Linked DNA regions of Oryctolagus cuniculus. The protein of the gene in region 1 purifies or fractionates together with the protein of each later gene. This does not show direct contact. Links are inferred from orthologs where the notes say so. Each region holds a gene or a part of one and is shown in the gene's direction. Other genes may lie near its edges.

Region 1 (6,961 bases):
ACAGGAAATGTCAGCGTACTTTTCAGGAGATGTGGATTAGTAATAGTTCACGAAACGTGACCTTTGACTAGGTTCCACTGTGAGATTTAGATGAAGAATTTAACTTACCCTCAAGGTGGATGACAATTCAGACAAATCCTGTAAATTTGAGAACGTTATGTATCAACTTTTAGACATGTTTGCTCATTTTATGTATTTACACGTATTTATCCTCAAAATAACCCTGCCAGGGTGTAGACACTGGAGAAAGAAACTAAATGTAGTGGTCCTCCTCCCTGCCTTTTTGGTGCTGTCAGTTTCCCTGGGGAGAAGGGGTCCGGACACAGCAGCTGTGGCCCCTGGAGCAGTTGCTGCTTTGCACCTGGGGAGAGGGAGGAGAGGCAGCCGCTGCCCACCTGATGTGTTCTGCAGGGATTTCCCTTAGACGATCAGTTACTTTGTTTGAAGGAAAATGTATTCCTTGAAAACCTGAAAACTTAGGTGAGCCTCAGCTGTTTTAGAAAAACAAAGTTTCCTAATGCAGACTGAATGGAAAATTTCCAAGGCAGGTCATCAGCTTGAGATAGGATAAAAACTGAATTTTGACGGACTGGTGGCGGCATATTGAACTGCTGGGCGGGAAAGTTCGTATCAGTTGGTCTACCCAAAGGGTCTAGAGTTTAACTCCTTTGGATGCGCCTCTGTTGTAATTCTTCTGTATTTGTGCTTTTATATTCACAGGTGTGCCTTCTTCTTCCTGCGCCTCCTCCTCACTGGAAAACATGCTTTTGTTTAACAGTCCTTCTGTGGGGCCTGATGCTCCTAAGATAGAAGACTTGAAGTGGCATTCTGCGTTCTTCAGAAAACAAATGGGTACTTCCTTGGTTCACTCACTGAAAAAGCCCCACAAGCGAGATGCACTGCCCAACAGCACTGGGAGCGAAGGCAAAGCTGTGCTCAAGCAGCCAGACCCGTGTGGTAGGCGGGAGGGGATTGTGGTCCCGGAGAGCTTTTTGAGCTTTGAAAAGACCTTTGCAGAAGCACGTCTCATATCGTCAGCACAACAGAAAAATGGGGTAGTGACACCAGACCACGGGAAGAGAAGAGACAATCGTTTCCATTGTGATCTCATTAAAGGAGACTTAAAGGACAAACCTTTTAAACAGAGTCACAAGCCTCTCAGGTCCACAGACGTGTCCCAGAGGCATCTGGACAACACGAGAGCTGCCATTTCCGCTGGAGCAGGGCAGTCAGCACCCGGCATGAGGAAGGAGATGGTGCCCAAGTGCAATGGCTCCCTAATCAAAGTGAACTATAATCAGACTGCAGTCAAAGTGCCTACAACGCCTGCCAGCCCAGTGAAGAACTGGGGAGGATTCCGGATTCCAAAGAAGGGGGAGCGGCAACAGCAGGGAGAGGCCCACGAGGGGGCCTGCCACCAGCACTCAGACTACCCATACTTGGGCCTCGGCCGAGTTCCAGCCAAGGAAAGGGCAAAAAGCAAGTTAAAACCCGACAGTGAGAATGACGGGTATGTCCCCGATGTGGAAATGAGTGACTCAGAGAGTGAGGCATCAGAAAAGAAGTGTCTCCACGCCAGCAGCACCATCGGCAGGAGGACAGACATTATCCGGAGGAGCATCCTGGCCTCCTGAGGAGACAGGGATGGCCTGGGAGCCCGGCGAACTTGGCACTGGGTGTGCTGGGGGGAGCTCTGATGCAGGGGACAAGCAGAAACCTGGTACTCCTGAGCTACACAAACACATTGACTTGCAATTCAGATTGAATTTTTTTTTTTTTCCAGAGTCATTTAGAAATCATTGTTGTGAGAAGTTTGTGTTATTTGCAACTTGTTGAGGAAACAGAAGAGTAGATTGTAACCATAAGACACTGCTAAGAGGAGAACCTGAACTAAACACTAAAACAAGAATGAATTAAGTTTTTAAGAGAGCAAGGCTTCAGTAAGCCTCCTGAAGTTTCATTGCTCTCTGCATTCTTCCCAAAGCACAAACTCTTGGTAACCTGAATATACGGAATCAGATGTGGTTCTTGAGACACCCTTACGTACCATTTGTAGCCCGTAAAGCTTATTTGCTAGGACTGCGGTAGATCTTGAAATCGATTTGGCCCGCAAGGCTATTTTTTGTTGCATGATAGTATGCAGGCAGCAGCTCTGAAGCTTCACTAACACTGGGGAAACTCACGTGTAGACGCAGCAGCCAAGCAAGAGAATTTAAACGATGGTCATGGTTGGAATTGCTGAAGGGACAGGGTAGAGCTGCTGCGGCTCGGAGGGTTAGGGTGAATGTTGCAACGTCCTGCTGCCTGATGCGCCTGAGTGGGTTGTGGGTGCAGAACTGATGGAGTGTGAAGCTGTTAGGAGGGTTCTATCTCTGAGAAAGGGCAGTTAAGGTCCAGTTTCTACCAGTCCTCTTGACCTTCCTCCTCCCTAACTGTTGGCTCTTGGGCCAGCTTGGGATTTCCCTGGCCATTGCCAATACCTGGCCGTCTGGCTTCCAGCAGCACAATGGCTATTCAAGTTTAAGCGATGAACTTCGAGACTCTGGTTACTCATACTTCCCAGAGCCAGTCTCTAGTGTGTATGTTGGGGAATCCGGGCTTCCAACATGAACGGATTCCTTAAGAAAAAGGAAAACAAGAAAAGAAAAAAAAAAGAAAAAATAAAATAGGTTATATTTCAAAACAATAGAAAGGCAATAAGTTGCGATAAGCTCTTACCATTGACCAAGGTTATACAGGAATGAGATTGATGTGTACCCTTGAATAGTTTTCTGGAGTCAGAGTTCTAAACTCTAATTCGTAACTTGGACTTTCTAATTGCAAATGGCAATAAATAGTAAGTTATCAGCAATAATAAATTTAGCATTAAATTTGAGTACAATGTTGTTTTTTGCACTCAATGTAGTGCGTATGTATTAAGACAGTGGATAGCGTTAAGGTCCTGTTAATTTTCTTTGGAATTCAATGTAGTTGTGAATCAAACTTAACAGAAGGAAAGTTTAAATAGCATTATGAGCATTTGGAATGAGCCCGACTTCCCCTAAATTACCCCTTAGTTTGTTAATAGCAGTACCCAGATTCTTGATTCATTTTTACATCTGTTTCCATGTGGCAGGGACATTCTAATACCTAATGCATAAATGCTTTGAGTTCTGTAGTTAACTTTCAAGTCTTCCAGATGATCGTCAACAACAAAAAAGGCTTATTGAATTCCATCTTGCTATGCAAGTTTTACCAGATGATCAGATAACAGATCTGATGCATCCCCGTTGTATGTATGACATTCTCAAACCAAGTCTTAACTTTTGAGTACATTTTAGTAGCTAATTCAGGGGAGGTGAAAGAATGACCCAGGTTTTTAGATTGACTATTTTTGAGCTATGGGGCTCAGTTTGAAAGACTGCTGTCCAGATCAGCTTGTTGCTACAAATATTAGGAGGTTCTTATGAATCCAAGTTGTACATTCACTTGTAGCATAATTTAAAAATGAGATTTTTTTTTTTTTTTTGCATAAGAGCAAAAACCTTTTGCTGGATATAGGAGAAGGTTGGACTCTACAGTTATCTTTTGACTACAGTAACAGCTCTGGGTGAGAGTAGAATTTATAGAAGAATAATTTGTCAAGCCATAGAGAGAAAATCTAAATTAATCTAGTAAATGTATGACCTCTCACCATTTTAAGAGGTACCAGATTCATTTGCACTATTAGGAATGCTAGTTTTGTGCAAAAGTAATGCCTTACCTGTTTTTCCCCATGTTTAGGTTGAAAAGCTTTCAAATGTTCCAAGTTATGCTGAACCAAAAACAAAACAAAACAAAAACAAAAAAATAAAAAAGCCCACACAAAAACAAAACACACAAAAAATAAAAAGTCCACTTTTTATTCCTGCTTCAAAATGCAAATGGTATAGAGCACGGTTTCTCTGACAGTATAATGATAGCTTTGTAAGTTAGTTTCATGTCATGCTGGGAACTCTGTATGAGGTGGCCATAAGCAGCAACCAGCCAGCCTACCCACTTGCATTCTATTAGTACAGAACCATTGGCCTTTTTTTTCCTTTTCTTTTTTTTGTGTTAAGCTTTATCTTTCCTTGTGCATCCTGACCAAGAAATATCTTTGATTATGATCAAATGTATTATGTCAAAATGTAGGCTAGTTAAACTTTTGTAAAGTTGCCTGGAATGTCATTTGTTAGGTTATAAACACAAAATCTTAAATGAAGGGTTTTATGTGTTGTGTACAAATCTTAATTATTTTGAAATGGACAGACTTGTCATTACATTTGTAACCTTGTACAGAGGATTTTTCACTATGTGCCTAGCTTGGTGTCCATTCAGCTAAAGTTGAAATAAAAGGTGCATGAAGAGTAAAAAATCAGAAATTAAACAAAGTATATGTAGAGATGACTATTTTATATTACATGGCCCAATCCTGTATTTATTTCTACCCCCTTTTTGAAAGTATTTATAAAACTAGTTGAGGACAGCTGTATTTTTTTGTTGAACTATTTAGTAGAATTTGTGCCTTTTTGTCTGTATGTGAATAAATGCTGTACATTTTGCAATACATTTTTAACTGTCTTTTGAAATCTGCTTTTGGCTAAATAGTTAAAGGTGTATTATGATTTAGTAATCCTGAGTTGGTGCTTGTTTATTGTCCTGGAGTGTAGATCAGAAATGAGAACAGTAGGGAACAGATCAGAACTGTGCAAAAGCCCAGATTTATTGGTGCTTTCTGGCTCAACTCTGAGAGGAGACTGAAAAAGATAATGGTTTGATTTTAGTCTTCCCCATCTGGAGTTCCTTCCAGAATATGAGGGTACTTCAACAAGTTTGCAGAAAATGTGTATATGGAAAAACTAGGGATTATCAAGTCAAGTTTTTGCACCAAAATATACTTAAACATTTAATTTTATTTTCCCATTAACATTTTGAAGTACCTGGTAAAATTTGGATCAGAAAACATCTCACTGTTGAAGCTACATAGACTTCAGGGTTAGAGAGACCTTGGTTTGATGGCTGAACCACAGTTTACCAAGCCATGTGACCTTGGCCAAATCGCTTAACCTTTATGAACCTCATTTTCCCATCTGTAAAAAGAGGATAACAATTTAGTCTTAGTGTGTTGTGATACTGAAAGGAAGTTCATAGAGTGGCACGCAGTATGCCTTTAGTAAGTGATAGGTTATTAGGTGCAAGGTACTGACTGGCAACATAAACTGATGAGCCTTCTGAGGCAAGATGTTATTCCTGAGTGATGGGAAGGTTGCATTGATAAGGTGCTTTAAAAAACTGAGAGGTTTCATTAACTGCTTGCTTTGATCACAAAGCTCTGGGACACAAGGGCAAGAAGAGAGATTACCTGCATTCCACAAAGGTGACTTGTCCAAGATCACTGCATTAGGCATATGCAGAAATTTCTAGTTTTGAATTGTACTGCATGCAGAAATTAGCATATACTGAGATGCACCTTTCTTTCCTCTTTGGGTTGGAACAGCAAAACTGGTGTGGATTATTCTTTCTCATGCTGATTAAGCCGATTAGGAGCAACAACAGGGTAGCTTTTTGGCTCCAGTCTAATTTGTAATTTCTACAGAAATTTGGCTAGTCTTTTCTTGAAAACATGAGTTGTCTCTTTTGCTAAAGGCTTGTTTATTCTGTCTTGTTTCTCCTTGGTGACTGCTTACTTCCATGTTGCTTTCTCTGAGCAAGACCCGAGAGGGAAATAACTATGATTCTTCCTACAAGGTCTTAAAGTTGAATAACCACAATAGTTCCCTAGGGAAATTAAGTCCCCAGGAGCCAAAGGAAGGCCCTATCATTGGCAGTTCTGCAATCTGTGATGGGAAATGTGGCACTAGGGACTCATGGTTCATGTTTTCACCGGCATTGCTTAGAAAACAGTTTCTACCTTTGAAACATTAGCCATCTGCAACAAACTTTGCAATTAACTTCAAGGTTGAAGTCTCTAATCCTTGTATGATTCTGTTTTAATGCTAAGAACTGCATTAGATAATGTGTTCTAGTGGAGGCTGACAGTGAAGGGCTTTGATGGCCTGGTCATTGAAAAAGAGGACACAAGCAAATCTGTTGTCTGGTCCATTTCCTTGACATCAGCTCTTCTCTGTTGCTGGTTTGGTATGTCTGCAGTGTAGCTTTTCCTGGGTTCTAAAAGATGCTTATTGGGCACTTCCTTTTGGATGTACACAGGTACCTGAGATTTTGGAAATACTTTTTTCCCCCCTGTTAACAGTCATGGGAATTCCTTGTGAATCATCTCTTCAAGTCCCATAGCCAAATGGCAGTAACTGACCCAATATTCTTGGCTTCTCTAGGTCCCAGTGCCACTTGCCATATAGATCAGGTCTCTTCATTTCTCCCATAATTACTTTTAGCAGCAGCCTCTTGTCTGGTTTCCTGGACTCAAGTCTTGCTGAAATTAATCCCTCTCTCCAATTAGGTGTAACTTTGCCAACACTATCTCCATAGTGATAGATAGCAATTTTGTCATTCCAGCTAGGGAACTTGCTTTTGCAGATAATTACAAAGTGCTTATTAAATAGCAGGCACTGGTCTGTATTTTACGTATAATAATTTGTTTAGGCCTTATGATGTGAGCTAGGTGTTACTGTCTCCACAGTTTGCAGATGAGGAAATTGAGCACACAGAAATTAAAGGTCAGTAGGCGGTGGAGTTACTGTACACAAATTAAGCCAGTGTTGGGTTAGGCACACTAGACTTTTGCCTCAGAATATAAAAATAGTTCATATAAAGTAGTTAGTGTGTTTCTGAGTATACTGAAGACTCTAAGTATGAACTTTAGGTCAATGGATTCCTATAAAGTAAAGCTAATAATATATTAGGGGACTACAAAAAGTTAGATGAAAAATGGAACTGAAACATCTGATGAAAAAACTTTTTGAAATCCATGCATAGTTTAAGAACTTTTTCAAGACCCCTG
Region 2 (7,657 bases), on another chromosome or scaffold:
TAGCTGCAACCAGCCTCCTGTTCTGTCCTTGCCGGCAAAAGAACAGAGGCTTTTCATGTGCCCGAATCCCTGAGGGCATTCTCTTCCTTCCATGATCTCACTTCACGATTTGGGGGGGGAATTAGACCTTTTCTTTCTAAGGGGGCAGGGGCTGAGATGTGGTCTCCAAGGGGCCAGACGTGAAGGGTGGCTTGGAAGTGTGGGTTATGGTTTTCCTTGGAGCCTCTCCCCATTCTCAGCCAGCCAAGGCCCTATACACTCAGTCTACCTATCCCAAACCCCAAGGAGCTGTGGGATTTTGTGTTCTCTGAAACTCCAAAACAAAGGGTGTTGCAGAGAAGGGGAGAGACAGGGCAAACACACGGACTGGACTTAGCTCCCCAGGTGCCACGGTCAGATGCCGGACACGGATTTATATATAAATATATATATAAATATATATATACCCACTCATCACGGCCATCTTTGTTGTAACCATTTCTGTGTTTATAAATGCATTATCTCTGAGAATTTTCATATTTGATGTTTTGTTTATTTTTGTCTTTTTTTCCTCCACCCTGTCTTCTGGCCATGACATTTTTGTTTCCTTTTGACTTTTTAAAAAAAAAATCATGGCAGATTTCAGAGAAAAGAGAAAATTTTAAAAAAATCAGGAAACAAGTTGTTATAAAGCAGTTTAAAAATGAAGAAAAAAAGAAACTTATGTACAAACTAAGGGGTGTTTTTAGAACATTGTATAGAAATAAATTCATGTAAAAGGATCAGAGGCAGTGGAGCTACTGATGTGAGCAAGTGGGACAAAGCTCTGGGGACATGTTCAAGGCCAGTGCTGAGGGTTTACGCCAGTGGGTGTATGAAGAGTGAGTGCTTGTGTGACGAGGCTCCATGTGTGTAATTCCCCAGCCAGAAAAGGATGCCCTTTCATTATCTCTTAAGTGAGATCTTGGTTTATGAGGGTTTCTACACACTAATTCTGTCATGAGGTTTGCATTGCCTAAATATGTGAGAATAGGGTTTCAGTTCTCACCATCAAAAAAAAAGAGAAATGGCCTCTCCAAAGGACCTATGATGGGCTCCAGGAATTGCAGTTGGCAAAGCGTGTACACACACACCCTGTGCACCTTCAACCAGAGGCTCCCAGTGGTGGGAACCCTCATGGGTGCAGGATTAACAATGCAGAATGGAGTTCTGAGGAGTGAGCATGGTCTGGAAGCTCATACCTGGGTCCGGACCCCACCACCTCCAGTGTTGGCCCCAGTGCCTCTTGGAGCTGTTAATGAAGGAATTTGGTAATTTCCAAGATTTACTTTCAAGAATTGAAGACTAAACAGAGAGTTGTGACCAAACTCCAACACCTGACAACTGGTGGATCTCTGGGACTACTTGGCAAACAGTGTTTGGCATGGCACAGATCCTTGGTTATTCAATAATGCCCACTTGATTTGCTGGGCAGGCAAGATAATGGCTACTGCTGCAATACTGAGCAATTAGCAAGTATATTTGGTGACCAAATATGCCAGTGTTTGGTCGCTTCCTGAGCATTTACTGCCTCTACTCACGGCAGAAAAGGGCGTGATGGTCTTCACCAATATTAGAACAGGAACCTTTTTAAGGATACACAGACACTGCAACAACCCTGTGAGGTAGGTACTGTTCCTACTGTATAGAAAGTGAAAAGTGCACAGATTACTTGTCTAAGGGCAAGGCACCTGTAACTTCAGAGGGGAGATCCTGTACCCTACCACTGCTCAGTGGCCAACTTGGGGGTCCACCTTGCCCTTCCACGTACTTATATTACGTGACTGAAAATATTAGAAACCTGCCACATGGCATTGATAGTAATTGCGATGGACGGGGTGACTATATAACACCACTAGTTGGTTACGGGTTTTGAGTTCTGATTCTCCCATGAGGTACAGCCCTGATGGAAAACATTGAGATCACTAGACTATAGCTGACCAGGGCGATGGCTGGCATTTAACTGGCCTAATTGTGGTAAGAGTTCCATGCCCCAACCCCTTCATAATTATGTTAACATCACATAAGAACTCAGAAGGGAAGCAAAACGTGAGATTTCCTCAGTGACACGAGGGTAAGGTCAGAAGCACTACATTTGTGCTGCTGATAAACGCTGTGCAAAATTACCTTTATTTTCTAATTGTATTTAAAAGCAGGAAGTTTATAAATAATGAATCAACTTGAGAAATAATCCAGGGGAGATGGTGTTCGTGTGAACACAAATACGGAGCGTTTAAATCTCAGAGCCTCATACTGCTTTCCAACTTCCTAGCTTGCCTAAAAGTCCTGTTTCAGCCGGGACCTCCTCTGCTTACCAGACTCAGACTCTGCAAAAGAAAAAAGTTGGCCTCCCTTCTTGAAGAAAAGAGACCTTTACGGGCCCAATCCTAAAGAGAAGCTTCTATCCCCATTACCACACATCGCCGTTTTGGAGGGGAAAAAAAAAAAAAAAAATTTGCAAGAGAATGCAAAATGGCGACCTCCAGTGACGTCATACCTGTCTCGGTCGCGTACTGGAGTCTCAGTAAGGGCGGAAGTCGGCCACAGCCGCCTCACTTCGGGCGCTCGTGGCTACTCACGCAAAAGGAAAACATCCAACGTCGGGCGGATGTGTCCGGGCAGGTAATTTACTAAGGGCGGAAGTTCTTTTAAGGGCGGAAATACTATGACCCAAGAATAGCTTCCGGGGCGAATCGGAAGTTGCTTTGTTTTGCTCCAAGATGGCTGCGGGGATGTATTTGGAACATTATCTGGACAGTAAGAGCAGGCTGGAGGAGGGGGTCAGGGGTCGTAGAGTGGTGTGGGGATTGGGGCTGAGAGGATCTGTGGTCCCGAAGTCCCGGCGGTGAGCAGCTCCTAATTGTGCAGGGGTTCCGTGGGAGGCAATACTGAACGGTGTCAAGAAAGAGGGGGCGGGGCAGTAGGGTCGAGGCCTCTGGGTTGAGGGTCGGCGAGGGAGGACTTGCGCGGAGGGTCTCAGGATTTGTCTTAAATGGCTGGTCGACGAAACACGGAAGATTTTGCCGCTCCAGTTCTTTAGGGTCCCCAGCCTCGGGGTAGATTGGTTCCCCCCGGGGGTGGTTCAGAGTCGGTGTCACCCACTGCCTTTTGGAGCAACGGCCAAGACCTGCTCTAGTCTCCTGGTTCTTTCCCAAGTGGTTTCTCTTGAGGCTGGGGTGGTGTTGAGTGACCGCTATCAGATGGTGAACCGGAACGCTTCAGGGAGTAAAGGTCTGATTCCCTTCAAATGGAGATTAGTGCTGTTTATGCCGTTAGTGTAACCCACCCCTTCACAAAGCCTGGCCCCTGCTGCACTTACGTTTGTCTTAGTGTCACCAGTCATTCATTCGACAAATACTGAGTTCCTGCTATGGGTCAGACATAGTGAGGATTTTTTTTTTAATTTATTTATTTGAAAGGCAGAGGCAGAGAGGGAGAGGGCTTCCATCCACTGGTTCACTCCCCAAATGGCCACAATGGCCAGAGCTGGGCCTATCCAAAGCCAGGAATCTGGAGCTTCTTCCAAGTCTCCCAGTAGGGTGCAGGGGCCCAAGGACTTGGGCCATCTTCTACTGCTTTCCCAGGCCATAGCAGAGAGCTGGATTGGAAGTGGAGCAGCCAGGACTTGAACCAGCTCCCATATGGGATGCTGGCACGCAGATCAGAGCTTTAACCTGCTGAGCCACAGCGCTGGCCTCATGAGGATATTTTTTAAAATGAGGAAGACACAGGCCCTGCCCTCAAGAAGCACGTGATCTAGTAGAAGTCAGATGTTGCAAACACTCATATATATATATATATATATATATTTATAAAAGTGTGGCAGGAAATATTACAGATATAAGTACAGTGGTTAACAGTAGAGAGAAAGGGGCTAATTACCTCGGGATGTAGGTGAGGCTTTGCAGAGGAGGCAATATTTGAACAGAATCTTGAAGATTTAACTGTTTACTTGCTGTATGGGGAAGGAAAGGTAATGCTGTGGCAAAGGTATTGTGTGATGTGCTTGTCGCAAGATCATGGGACGATGAGGTCAGAGTCTGATATATACAAGGAGACATCCCAAAGCTCATGGAGAATAGAATTAAAAGGTGTTTATTTTGGTCCAGGTTTTTTATTTGAAACATTTATTTACTTGAAAGGCTGGGTGACAGAGAGGGAGAGAAAGAGGTCTTCCACTCTCTGGTTCACTGCCCAAATCCCTGCAACAGCCAGGGCTGGGCCAGCTGAAGCCAGGATCCAAGAGCTCCATCCAGGTCTCCCCCATGGGTGGCTGGAACCCAAGGACTTGGGCCATCTTCTGTTTCCTTCCCAGGCACATTAGCAGGAAGCTGGATTGGAAGTGGAGTAGCTGGGACTTGAACTGGCCCTCTGATATGGGATGCTGGCATTGCAAAAGGCTGCTTAACCTGCTGCACCAAAACACTGCCCCGACCCAATTATTTTTTAAAATCCTGGCGTATATGAGATCCTCAGAAGGCTCATGGCAAGTGCATATTCTGAAAAATATATGCATTGAATTCAGTCTTTTCTGGACCAGAACTTTTTTTGAAGATTTATTTATTTATTTGAGAGTTGGAGTTACAGAGAGGGAGAGACAGAGAAAAAGGTCTTCCATCACTCCCCCAAATAAATAGCTGCAACAACTGGGGCTGGGCCAGGCCAGAGCCAGGAGCTTCTTCTGGCTCTCCCACATGGTGTAGAGCTGGAGCGGAAGTGGGGCAGCTGGAACAACCTGGTGCCCATACGGGATGCCAGTCCTGCAGGCGTGGCTTTAACCTGCTGTGCTGCAGTGCCAGCCTCAACCCGATTTTTCTGTATTCTGTTTTTCCATTAATGTGTTAAAGTACTGTCACATGACCCTAAAAAGAGAGCTTGGGAAATGAGACTAAAGGAGGAGGCTAGAGCTAGATTGGGCAAGCTCTTTTTTTTTTTTTTTTTCCTAAAGATTTATTTTATTTTTTATCTGAGAGGCGGGGTTACAGAGAGGGAGAGACAGAGAGAGTGAGCGAGAGCAATCTTCCATCTACTGGTTCACTCCCCAAAGGGCCACAACAGCCAAGGCTGGGCAAGCTAAAGCCAGGAACCTGGAACCTCCAATCTCCCACATGGGTGCAGGAGCCCAAGCACTTGGGCCATCTTCTGCTGCTTTCCCAAGTGCATTAGCAGGGAGCTGGACGGGAAGTGGGGGGCCATGACTCAAACCAGTGCTCATATGTGATGCCAGCACTGCAGGCAGCAACTTAACCTGCTACGCCATCGCTGGCCCCTGGGCCAGGTTTTTTCATCCAAGCTAAGAAGTTTGGATTTAAACTCCAGTGATTATTTTGAGAATAATGCTTTGTGGGTTTTTTATTATTTTTGTTGTTTTAAGATTTATTTATTTATTTATCTGAAAGCAGAGAGAGAGAGAATGAGATCTTCCTGGTTCATTCCAGCAAGTGGCTTCAGTGGCTAGGGCTGGGCCAGGCCAAAGATACGAGCCTGAAGCTCCATCTGGGTCTCCTACGTGGGTGTCAGTGACTCAAGCACCTGGGCCGTCTTCTGCTGCTTTCCCAGGCACATTAGCAGGGAGCTGGATCAGAAGTGGAGCAGCTGGGGCTGGAACTCGTGCTCTGATTTGGGATGCTGGATCACAGGCAGCACTGTGCCACAATGCTGGCCCTCAGTGTTATTTTTATAAAGGAAAATAAGCTACGTATGATAAATTGGATCCAGATAAATTTGGTAACGTGGGGATCAGTTAGTGAAAACAGTCTGGGTCAGAGATGTGGGCCTGATCTCAGAGAGTAGAAGTTAAATATGCCAGGAGTTAAATATGCTGACTGAACGAGGGGTTGAGCAAGAAGGGAGAATTTCCGGTGACTTCTTCCTGCTGGAAAGTGAGGCTGATGTGTACCATCAGCAAGATGGGAAATCCAGCAGAAACAACAGTGTGTTTAATTCCATTTAGAGGTAAGCATAGGACTGGTTATTATAGCTATGAGGGCAAACAAGATTTTTCAGGAAAACAAAGTGAGAAAATGAGAGGACTGAAGTGTAATCTCAAGAAAACATTCACATTGAAAGGACAGACCAAGACATGTCAGTGTTGAAATCACCAGGAGGTGTATAATCAGATGTGAATCCTGAGAGGCAGGAAGTTACTCCAAGGAGGGAAGATGGTGCCAGCTGCTGCATGACATTTATTTTTCGGTTATTTTTGAATTGTAGAGAAGGCAATCTGCCCTCCGCTGGTTCACTTCCCAAATGCCAGCAACGGCTGGAGCGAGTCAAAGCCAAAACCAGGGCCAGGAGCTCACTATGGGTCCCCCATCGAGTGTCAAAGATCCGGCTGCTTGCAGCATCACCACTGCCTTCCAGGGTGCACGTTAGCAGGAGTGTGGGAGCGGAAGCAGAGCTTGGACTCCACCCCAGGCGTTCCCACACAGGTGTGTGAGTCCAGAATTGCATTTTAATTGTTAGGCCAAACATCTACCCCTGCACAGATTTTTTTTTTTTTTTTTTTTTTAGAATAGAAGTAATAAGAGATCGTTTGATTGGCTAAGTCATTTTTGATTTGAAGCACTAAGTGACTTGGCAATAGCAGGCCTGAGGTGCGTTAAAGCAGTAGAGGCATTTTGAAAGTTTGAGGTAGAGTCATGGGAAGAGAAAAAAATGTTCCTTTATGGAAAAATAAATTATTACAAGTATTTATTGAGTACCTTCTGTATGCAAGGCATAATTCTAAACACTAGGGAAATAGGTGAACGAGACAGACTTGTCTCTGCTCTTGTGGAGAGCTAGGGAGACAGATACCAAATAACTAATTGTGTAGTTACTAAAGCTGGATAAGTGTTTTAAAAAAATTGAAGTAGGCTGGCGCCGCAGCTCACTTGGCTAATCCTCCGCCTGCGGCACCGGCACCCCGGGTTCTAGTGCCGGTTGGGGTGCCGGATTCTGTCCCAGTTGCTCTTCTTCCAGTCTAGCTCTCTGCTGTGTCCCGGGAAGGCAGTGGAGGATGGCCCAAGTGCTTGGGCCCTGCACCCCCATGGGAGACCAGGAGGAAGCACCTGGCTCTTGGCTTCGGATCGGCGCAGCACGCCAGCCGTTGTGGCCATTTAGGGGGTGAATCAACGGAAGGAAGGCTTTTCTCTCTGTCTCTCAATGTCTAGCTCTGCCTGTCAAAAAAAAAAAAAAAAAAAATTTTGAGGTATAGGGGCCAGTGCTGTGGCTTAGCAGGTTAAGCCACTGCCTGCAGTGCAGGCATCTCATATGGGTGCTGGCTCGTGTCCCTGCTGCTCCACTTCATTCCAGCTCTCTGCTAGGCCTGGGAAAGCAGTATAAGATGGCCCAAGTCCTTGGGCCCCTGCACCTGTGTGGGAGACCCAGAAGATGCTCTTGGCTCCTGGCTTCGGATCAGCACAGCTCTGTCCATTGTGGCCATCTGAGGAGTGAACCAATGGAAGGAAGACCCCTCTCTCTGTCTCTCTGCCTCTGCCTCTCTCTAACTCTGCCTTTCAAATAAAATAAATCTTTTTTTTTTTTTTTAATTGAGATACAGTACCTTGATAGTATGCATCTGGACACTTGCTCATGAGAGTCTGGGCAAGTCAGATTTGAGCTGACCTCTGAGCAGTGAACAGAAAGAAGCCCAAGA
Region 3 (7,555 bases), on another chromosome or scaffold:
TTCTCTATCCACCTCTGCCTTTCTGTAACTCTGACTTTCAAGTAAAATAAATCAATCTTTAAAAAAAAAAATCAGGGAAACTTTCACATCTCATTTAAAATGCCTGTAATACAGATAGGACAGTACAAAAGAAAAGCTGCAGATCAATATTTCTAATGAAGTTAGCTGCAAAAATCCTCAACAAAATATTAACAGACTGAATCCAGCAGTATATTAAAAAGTTACACAAGATGGCCAAGCAGGGTTTATTTCAGATAGGCACGCCTGGTTCAACATTTGAACGTGAATTTTTACATAATCCAAAGCTGATGAAGAAAACTCACGTGCTGGTGGTGTGGCCCCCACTTGCAACATCCCATATCGGGGCTCAAGTCCCAGCTGCTCTGCTTCCTGTAATTGCTCCTTGGGAGGCAGCAGATGATGGCTCAAATGGCTGGGTCCCTGCCACCCATGTGGAAGTAGAGGATGGAGCTCCTGGCTCTCGTCTTCAGCCTCACCCAGCCCTGGCTACTGTGGGCATTTGAGAAGCGAACCAGCAGATGGAAGATCCCTTTCTCTGTCCCTCTATGTATGTATCTCTTCTCTGTAACTCTGCCTTTCAAATACATACATACATACATACATCTTTAACAAAGGAACATTCATATGAACGTGTCAGTTGGCACAAGAAAAACACCCGATGAACGTCAATACCATTTATGATAAAAGCTCTCAGTACCCTAGGAACACAGAGGAACTTTCTCATCATGATAAACAGTACCTACAAACCCCTTCAGCTAACATTGTACCTCATGGTTAAAGATGGAGTGCTTAGCTGGCGCCGTGGCTCACTAGGCTAATCCTCCGCCTTGCGGCGCCGGCACACCGGGTTCTAGTCCTGGTCGGGGCACCGGATTCTGTCCCGGTTGCCCCTCTTCCAGGCCAGCTCTCTGCTGTGGCCAGGGAGTGCAGTGGAGGATGGCCGAGTACTTGGGCCCTGCACCCCATGGGAGACCAGGAGAAGCACCTGGCTCCTGCCATCGGATCAGCGCGGTGCACCGGCCGCGGTGGCCATTGGAGGGTGAACCAATGGCAAAGGAAGACCTTTCTCTCTGTCTCTCTCACTGTCCACTCTGCCTGTAAAAAAAAAAGATGGAGTGCTTTTCCCCAAAGATAGGAAATAAGGCAACAATGTCTACTTTCCTCACTCTTATTTAATATATGACTAGGAATGCTGATCAGCACAGTGAGACAGGAGAGGGAGTAAAGAGCACTCAGGGCTGGTGTTGTGCCACAGCAGCTTAAGGTACTCCCAGGGATGCCCACATGTCGTATCAGAGTGCAGGCTGGAGTTCAGCTACTCCGTTTCCAGTCCAGCTTCCTGCAAGTGTGCCCAGGAAAGCAGCTGGGGATGGCCCAAGTCCTTGGGCCCCTGCTACCGATCTGGGAGACTTCTATGGGTTTAGCCTCATCCAGCCTGGCTGGATGGTCATGTTGTGGTCATTTGGGGATTGAACTAGTGGATGGAAGATCGCTCAATCTCATAGTCTCTGTCTCTGTCTCTCTCCCTCTCTAACTCTGCCTTTCAAATAAATAAAATAAGCCTTTAAAAAGTAATATTTTAAAAACAGTATACATATTGGGAAGGAGTAACAATATAAAACAATTCCCTATTTGCAAATAAAATGATTGTCACAGAAAAAATTCCAAGGAATCTGGACTAGAAAACCCTTCCTAAAATTAATAAGGGAGCTTGGCAAGATCCCAGGTTACTAAATCTATACACGAAAAGAAATTTCCAGAAATTAGCAGATAGACAAGATGGAGAATATAGATAGTAAAACTTAAAGGATTAAAGACGTTTCTTTCTTTACTTGAAAGGCAGAGAGAGAGGCAGAGAGCTTCCATTGGCTGCTTCACTCCCCAAATGCCCACAACAGCTGGGGCTGGGCCAAGCCCAAACCAGGAGCCTAGAACCTAACCCAGGTTTCCCAACTGGGTGGCAGGATCCCATGACATCCCCTTCTGCCTCCCAGGGTGCAGGTTAGCAGGAAGCTGGAATCAACATACCCAGGACTGAAACTGGGGCCCTTCGATATGGGACGCCAGCATCTCAAGCTGGCGCTTAACTCCTGAGCCAAATGCCCACCCCCAAATAAAGGATTCTTTAAAAAAAATTATTTGAAAGGCAGAGTTACAGAGAGAGAGGTCTTCCAAACGCTGCTTCACTCCGCAAACGGCTGCAATGGCCATGGCTGGGCCAAGCCAAGCAGGAGCCAGGAGCTTCACCCAGGGTGGGTGGAGTGAGGATAACCCTCAGGCTCTGACTCGGGCCCCTCGGTGGCAGTGAAGTCATTCCCCAGGGGAATGACTAGGAACTCTAAGCACGAGCCTGGCTTTGGACACTGTGAGCCCGCGGTGCCCCTAAAGCTCGCCGGCCAATCCTAGTGCGGAAAGGCAGATCCCAGCAGGTGCGGCAGCCCCACCTGCCGGATCCATCCCCGGGGCAGGGTTTCCCAGCGCCCCGCCCAAGCGCGGCGCCCGGCGGCGCGCGTCTCCGGAAGCCGCTCGCGCAGGCGCAGTGCAGCGGGCGCCCCCTGGCGGTCGGCAGCGGATCGCAGGGCCCGCCCCCAGCCGCCCGCCGCTGCTGCCCGCCTCAGCCCAACATGGCGATGCACAACAAGGCGGCGCCGCCGCAGATCCCGGACACCCGGCGGGAGCTTGCCGAGCTCGTGAAGCGGAAGCAGGAGCTGGCGGTGAGCGGCTGGGACCCGGGGCTCCGGCGTGGGGCCCCGCGCTCGCCCGGCCGCCGACCGCCAGCCCGGCCGCACCAGGCCGTCGGTTACTCCGGGGACGCCGCGCGCGGCCCGGGAGTCCGGCGGCCTGGGCCGGGGCGCGTGCCGCCGAGCGCCGTTTCCGGCGGTGCGGAGGCGGAGCGGCGGCCGGAGCCCGGAGGGGGCGGGGAGCGGGCCTCGGCGGCGCGGAGGAGGAAGGGCGCCGCGGGCCGGGGCGTGTGCGTGCGGGCGCCTGAGAGGGCGGGTGTCGTGGGTCGTGCGGGTGGGCGCGGGCGGAGGCGGGTCCCGGCCTGCGGGTGGGCTTTGGGGATGAGCCGAGTGTGGGAGCCGGTCTGGTCTCTGAGAGGATGGTGGGGGGGTAGGTCCCTTTTGGTCCTAGGAGCCCATCCGTGGGAGGGTGTCTGGGATGGGCAGGGGTGTGATCTTTCCAGAAGGTGACAGGCGGGGGACGAGGACCGGGTTGGGAAACTGGGAGCCGTGACGTGCACCCCGCGTTTGGGCGCACCTGCTGCCGCCCTTCCAGGTTTCCATGACAACGGGCAGCCCGGGGCCGGCGGCCTCGCCGAGCCCTTGGGAGGGCAGTGCCCAGTGCCTCGCTCATTCCGCGCCTGGTGGCGGTCCCCTTTGTGCGTGGGCGTGGAGCCTGCCCCTGTTCTGCCTCGGCCCGGTTCTTGACACTTGGGTTTCCGAGAGCCCTGTGCAGAATTCCGCACGTGTGGGCGTTTACCTGGGGACAGGCTCTGTGGAGTCCGTTCTGTTCCCAAAGGGGTCGGGCCATCACCCCGAAAGATCCAGACTCTTGGACTTGAATGGCCTACCGTTCCTGGAGTCCTCCAGCCCTCCACGAAGGTAGTTTAATGTGGGTGAGTTTGGGTTTATGATAAGCCCAGGGTCAGGCTTTCAGTGTGGGCACAGCTAATCCCCGGCCTGGCTTGTCGTCTCCCAGGAAACTCTGGCCAACTTGGAGAGACAGATCTATGCTTTTGAAGGAAGCTACCTGGAAGACACTCAGATGTATGGCAATATCATTCGTGGCTGGGACCGCTATCTAACCAACCAAAAGTGAGTTTCCAAAGGTTGTGCTCTCGAAATACCCATTTGTGGGATTGTGTGTTGTTGACAGCCATGGGGCCGGGGAGGCAGCAGCCGTCAGGTGGTGGTGTGCAGGGAGGTCTGGGCTTGAGCTGGCACTGAGGGTCCGCCCCTGCCTCCCCGAGTAGAACAGGGGGAGTCTGGCCCTGCCCAAGAGCTGTGTAAGGCTTGGATGGAGTACGGCGTGTGACAGTCTGCACAGCTCTGGTAGTGTTTTCCACATTTTGATCAGTCTTGAGTTCAACCCTTGGAAGTTTTGCCATACCTGTGTGGCTACTGTACTACAGTGTTATTCTTTGGGACTGGCTGTGTGGCACAGGGGGTTAAACTGCAACCTGTGACGTCAGCATCCTGTTTAAGAGAGCCAGTTCTAATCCCAGCTGTTCTGTTTTCAATCCAGCTCCCTGCTGATGTGCTAGGAAGGCGGTGGAAGATGGCCCACAAGGTTGGGTCCCTGCCAACCGTGTGGGAGACCAGGTAGAGTTCCAGGCTTTTGATTTTGGCCTGGCCCAGCCCTGGCTGTTGTGGGCATTTGGGGAGTGAACCACGGATGGAAGACCTCTCTTTCTTTGTCTCTCCCTTTCTGTTACTCTGCCTTTCAAATAAATAAATCTTTTAAAAAAATATTTCATTTATTTGAAAGGCAGAGTGACAGAGATCTTTCATATGCTGGTTCACTCCCCAAATGGTGCAACAGCTGGGGCTGGACTGATCTGAAGCCAGGAGCCAGGAATTCCATCCAGGTCCCCTGCGTGTTGCAAGGGCCCCAAGCATTTGGGCCGTCTTCGGCTGCCCTTCCAGGCACATCAGCAGGGAGCTGGATTGGAAGTGGAGGAACTGGGACAGAAACCGGTGCCCATATGGGATGCCAGCACCCACTTAACCTGCTACGCTACAGTGCTAACCCCCATATAAGTAAAATGTTAAAAAAATGATTCTTTTCAAATTTTGGAAATTTTTAAAAATTTAAGTAGAATTTTTTAAAAAATTTACTTATTTATTTGAAAGAGTTACGCAGAGAGAGAGAGGGAGGTCCTCCATCTGCTGGTTCATTCACTCCCCAGATGGCTGCAAGGACTGGAACTGCGCTGATCCGAAGCCAGGAGCCAGGAGCCTCTTCTGGGTTCCCCACGTAGGTGCAGGGTCCCAAAGACTTGGGCCATCTTCCACTGCTATTCCAGGCCATAGAAGAGAGCTGGATCAGAAGAGGAACAGCCAGGACTAGAACTGGTGCCTATATGGGCTGCCAGCGCTTCAGGCCAGGGTGTTAACCCGCTGCGCCACAGCGCGGGCCTTAGGTAGAATTTTTTTTTTTTACGTTTATTTGGAAGACAGAGTGGCAGGCAGAGAGATTTTCCATCAGGTTAAAGGCAGGCTGAAGCCTGGAGGCAGAACTCAGTCCTAGTCTCTCCTGGGTGACTCCTTGAGTCACCACCTGCAGCCTCCCTGGGCGCACATTAGCAGGACATTGGAATTGGAAGCAGATGGGACTCAAGCCTGTCAGCTTCTCTGGGCCTCCCAAACAGCGGCCTAACCGCTGTGCCAAAGGCCTGCCCCTTGACAATTTTTGTTTCTATGGAAAAGTTGAAAAAATAGTTCATGAGCACTCCATGTTCATCTACATTTACCAGTTGGTAACATGTTGCCAAATTTGCTTTGTTTTCCTTACTGTACTGTACCTATGTAAACACCTGTATCTACCTTAAAATTTTTTTTTAAGATTTGAAATATTTATAGATTAATAGGAAGTTGCAAAAATTGTGCAGAGCGGCCTCATGTAGTCCACCAGTTTGCCCCACTGGTTATGTTTCGTAGAACTATATGGTGCCACATCAGCACCAGGACATGCTCATTGGTACAATGGGTATCTACAGTTGGATGTCATTTTATCACATGTGTAGGTTCATGTAACCATAGTCAGTGCACAGAACTGTTCAGTCGCCACATAGGTCTCCTCCACACCATTCTGCGCTTCTGTGCCTGCTCCCCTTAGACTTTTTCTTGCTGAAGCGCTACAGAGTTTGAGCAGAGGTTATGCACGACACTTTGTACCTAACTGTCAGCGGCTGCCTCCTGAGAATAAGAACTCTGACCTAGCCACAACATCATACCTAGAAAATTAATACTGCAGTAAAACATCCGGTACACAGTCTGTTCATCTTTCCTCAGTTGTCCCCAGAATGTTTTGCTCTGTTCCGACCCAGGGTCTGTTCAGCCTTCATTCACCATGTTTGCATGTTTGGCTGTTATTTGTCTTTGGTCTTTTTTTTTTTTTTTTTTTTTTTTTTTTGACAGGCAGAGTGGACAGTGAGAGAGAGAGACAGAGAGAAAGGTCTTCCTTTGCCGTTGGTTCACCCTCCAATGGCTGCCGCGGCCGGCGTATCACACTGATCCGAAGCCAGGAGCCAGGTGCTTCTCCTGGTCTCCCATGCGGGTGCAGGGCCCAAGGACCTGGGCCATCCTCCACTGCACTCCCGGGCCATAACAGAGAGCTGGCCTGGAAGAGGGGCAACCGGGACAGAATCCGGTGCCCCGACCGGGACTAGAACCCGGTGTGCCGGCACCGCAAGGATTAGCCTATTGAGCCACAGCGCCGGTCCTGTCTTTGGTCTTTTTTAAGATTTTATTTTATTATTTATTTGAGAGGTAGAGTTATAGACCGGTAGAGGGGAGAGACAGATCTTCCATCCGCTGGTTCACTCCTCAGTTGGCTGCAATGGCCGGAGCTGAGCCAATCTGAAGCCAGGAGCTTCTTCTGGGTCTCCTACATGGGTACAGGGTCCCAAGGACTTGGGCCATCTTCTACTGCTTTCTCAGGCCATAGCAGAGAGCTGGATCGGAAGAGGAGCAGCAGGGACTCAAACCAGCGGCCATATGGGATGTCAGCACTGCAGGTGGCAGCTTTACCTGCTATGCCGTAGCGCTGGCCCCTCTCTTTAGTCTTAAGGTTTAGGATAATCCCTCATTCGTTTTGTCTAATGTTTGTCTACTTGTATTTTATTTGAAAGGAAGGGAGACAGAGTCTTTGATCCACTGGCTCACCTCGCAGATGCCTGCAAGGCCGGGGTTGGGTGTTCGCACCAGCAGCCTAGGCTGCTGCCCTAGATGCCTGTCCCTTTCTCACTCCTTTTGGTGGTGCTTGTGTTGTGGTTGATGACATTGTCTTGCAGAATGTTCCAGTTCCAGATTTCTCTTATTGTGACTTCATGAGAGATCCTTTAGACATTTCTGGGGGACCATTGCATGTTACTTTATACCTCTTATTATCTGCCTCTGTTTTATCAGCGTCAGATTGTCCCATTTCCGATGCTGCTAAGTTTAATCGCGGGATTTCTCTGCTGTGAAAGTACATTTTTCCCCCACTGTAATAACAAGTAATTTTGGACATTACACTTTCTCAAATTTATTTCAGTAGTCATTGCCACTCTTGATCATTTTTTTTAATTGTTTTTTATTTGAAAGTCAGAGTTACACAGAGAGGCAGAGAGAGAGAAAGAGAAAGAGGTCTTCCATCCGCTGGTTCAACTCCCCAACTGGCTGCAATGGCCAGAGCTGCGTCGATCCGAAGCCAGGGTCCAGGAGCCTCTTCCGGTCTCTCACATGGGTGCAGGGGCCCAAGCACTTGGGCCATCTTCTACTGCTTTCCCAGGCCATAGCAGAGAGCTGGATCGGAATTGGAGCAGCAGGGA

Evidence for each region. Proteins that work in one complex are often made in the same cells at the same time.
Region 2: the proteins of JADE1 (region 1) and ING4 purify together in Homo sapiens (affinity purification with mass spectrometry; 4 studies listed by BioGRID and IntAct, with this or other methods). This does not show direct contact. The link is inferred for Oryctolagus cuniculus from reciprocal best matches to the Homo sapiens genes JADE1 and ING4.
Region 3: the proteins of JADE1 (region 1) and MEAF6 purify together in Homo sapiens (affinity purification with mass spectrometry; 5 studies listed by BioGRID and IntAct, counting the BioPlex papers as one, with this or other methods). This does not show direct contact. The link is inferred for Oryctolagus cuniculus from reciprocal best matches to the Homo sapiens genes JADE1 and MEAF6.

The regions. Positions count from the first base shown.
Region 1 is NC_091439.1:35,888,111-35,895,071, reverse strand, and holds the end of JADE1 (protein Jade-1), read left to right. Parts: intron 1-720; coding exon 721-1,634; 3' UTR 1,635-4,569; downstream 4,570-6,961.
Region 2 is NC_091440.1:102,847,848-102,855,504, forward strand, and holds the start of ING4 (inhibitor of growth protein 4), read left to right. Parts: upstream 1-2,667; 5' UTR 2,668-2,738; coding exon 2,739-2,775; exon of another isoform or gene 2,776-2,863; intron 2,864-7,657.
Region 3 is NC_091438.1:135,240,327-135,247,881, forward strand, and holds the start of MEAF6 (chromatin modification-related protein MEAF6), read left to right. Parts: upstream 1-2,565; 5' UTR 2,566-2,645; coding exon 2,646-2,735; intron 2,736-3,297; exon of another isoform or gene 3,298-3,583; coding exon of another isoform or gene 3,584-3,637; intron 3,638-3,720; coding exon 3,721-3,836; intron 3,837-7,555.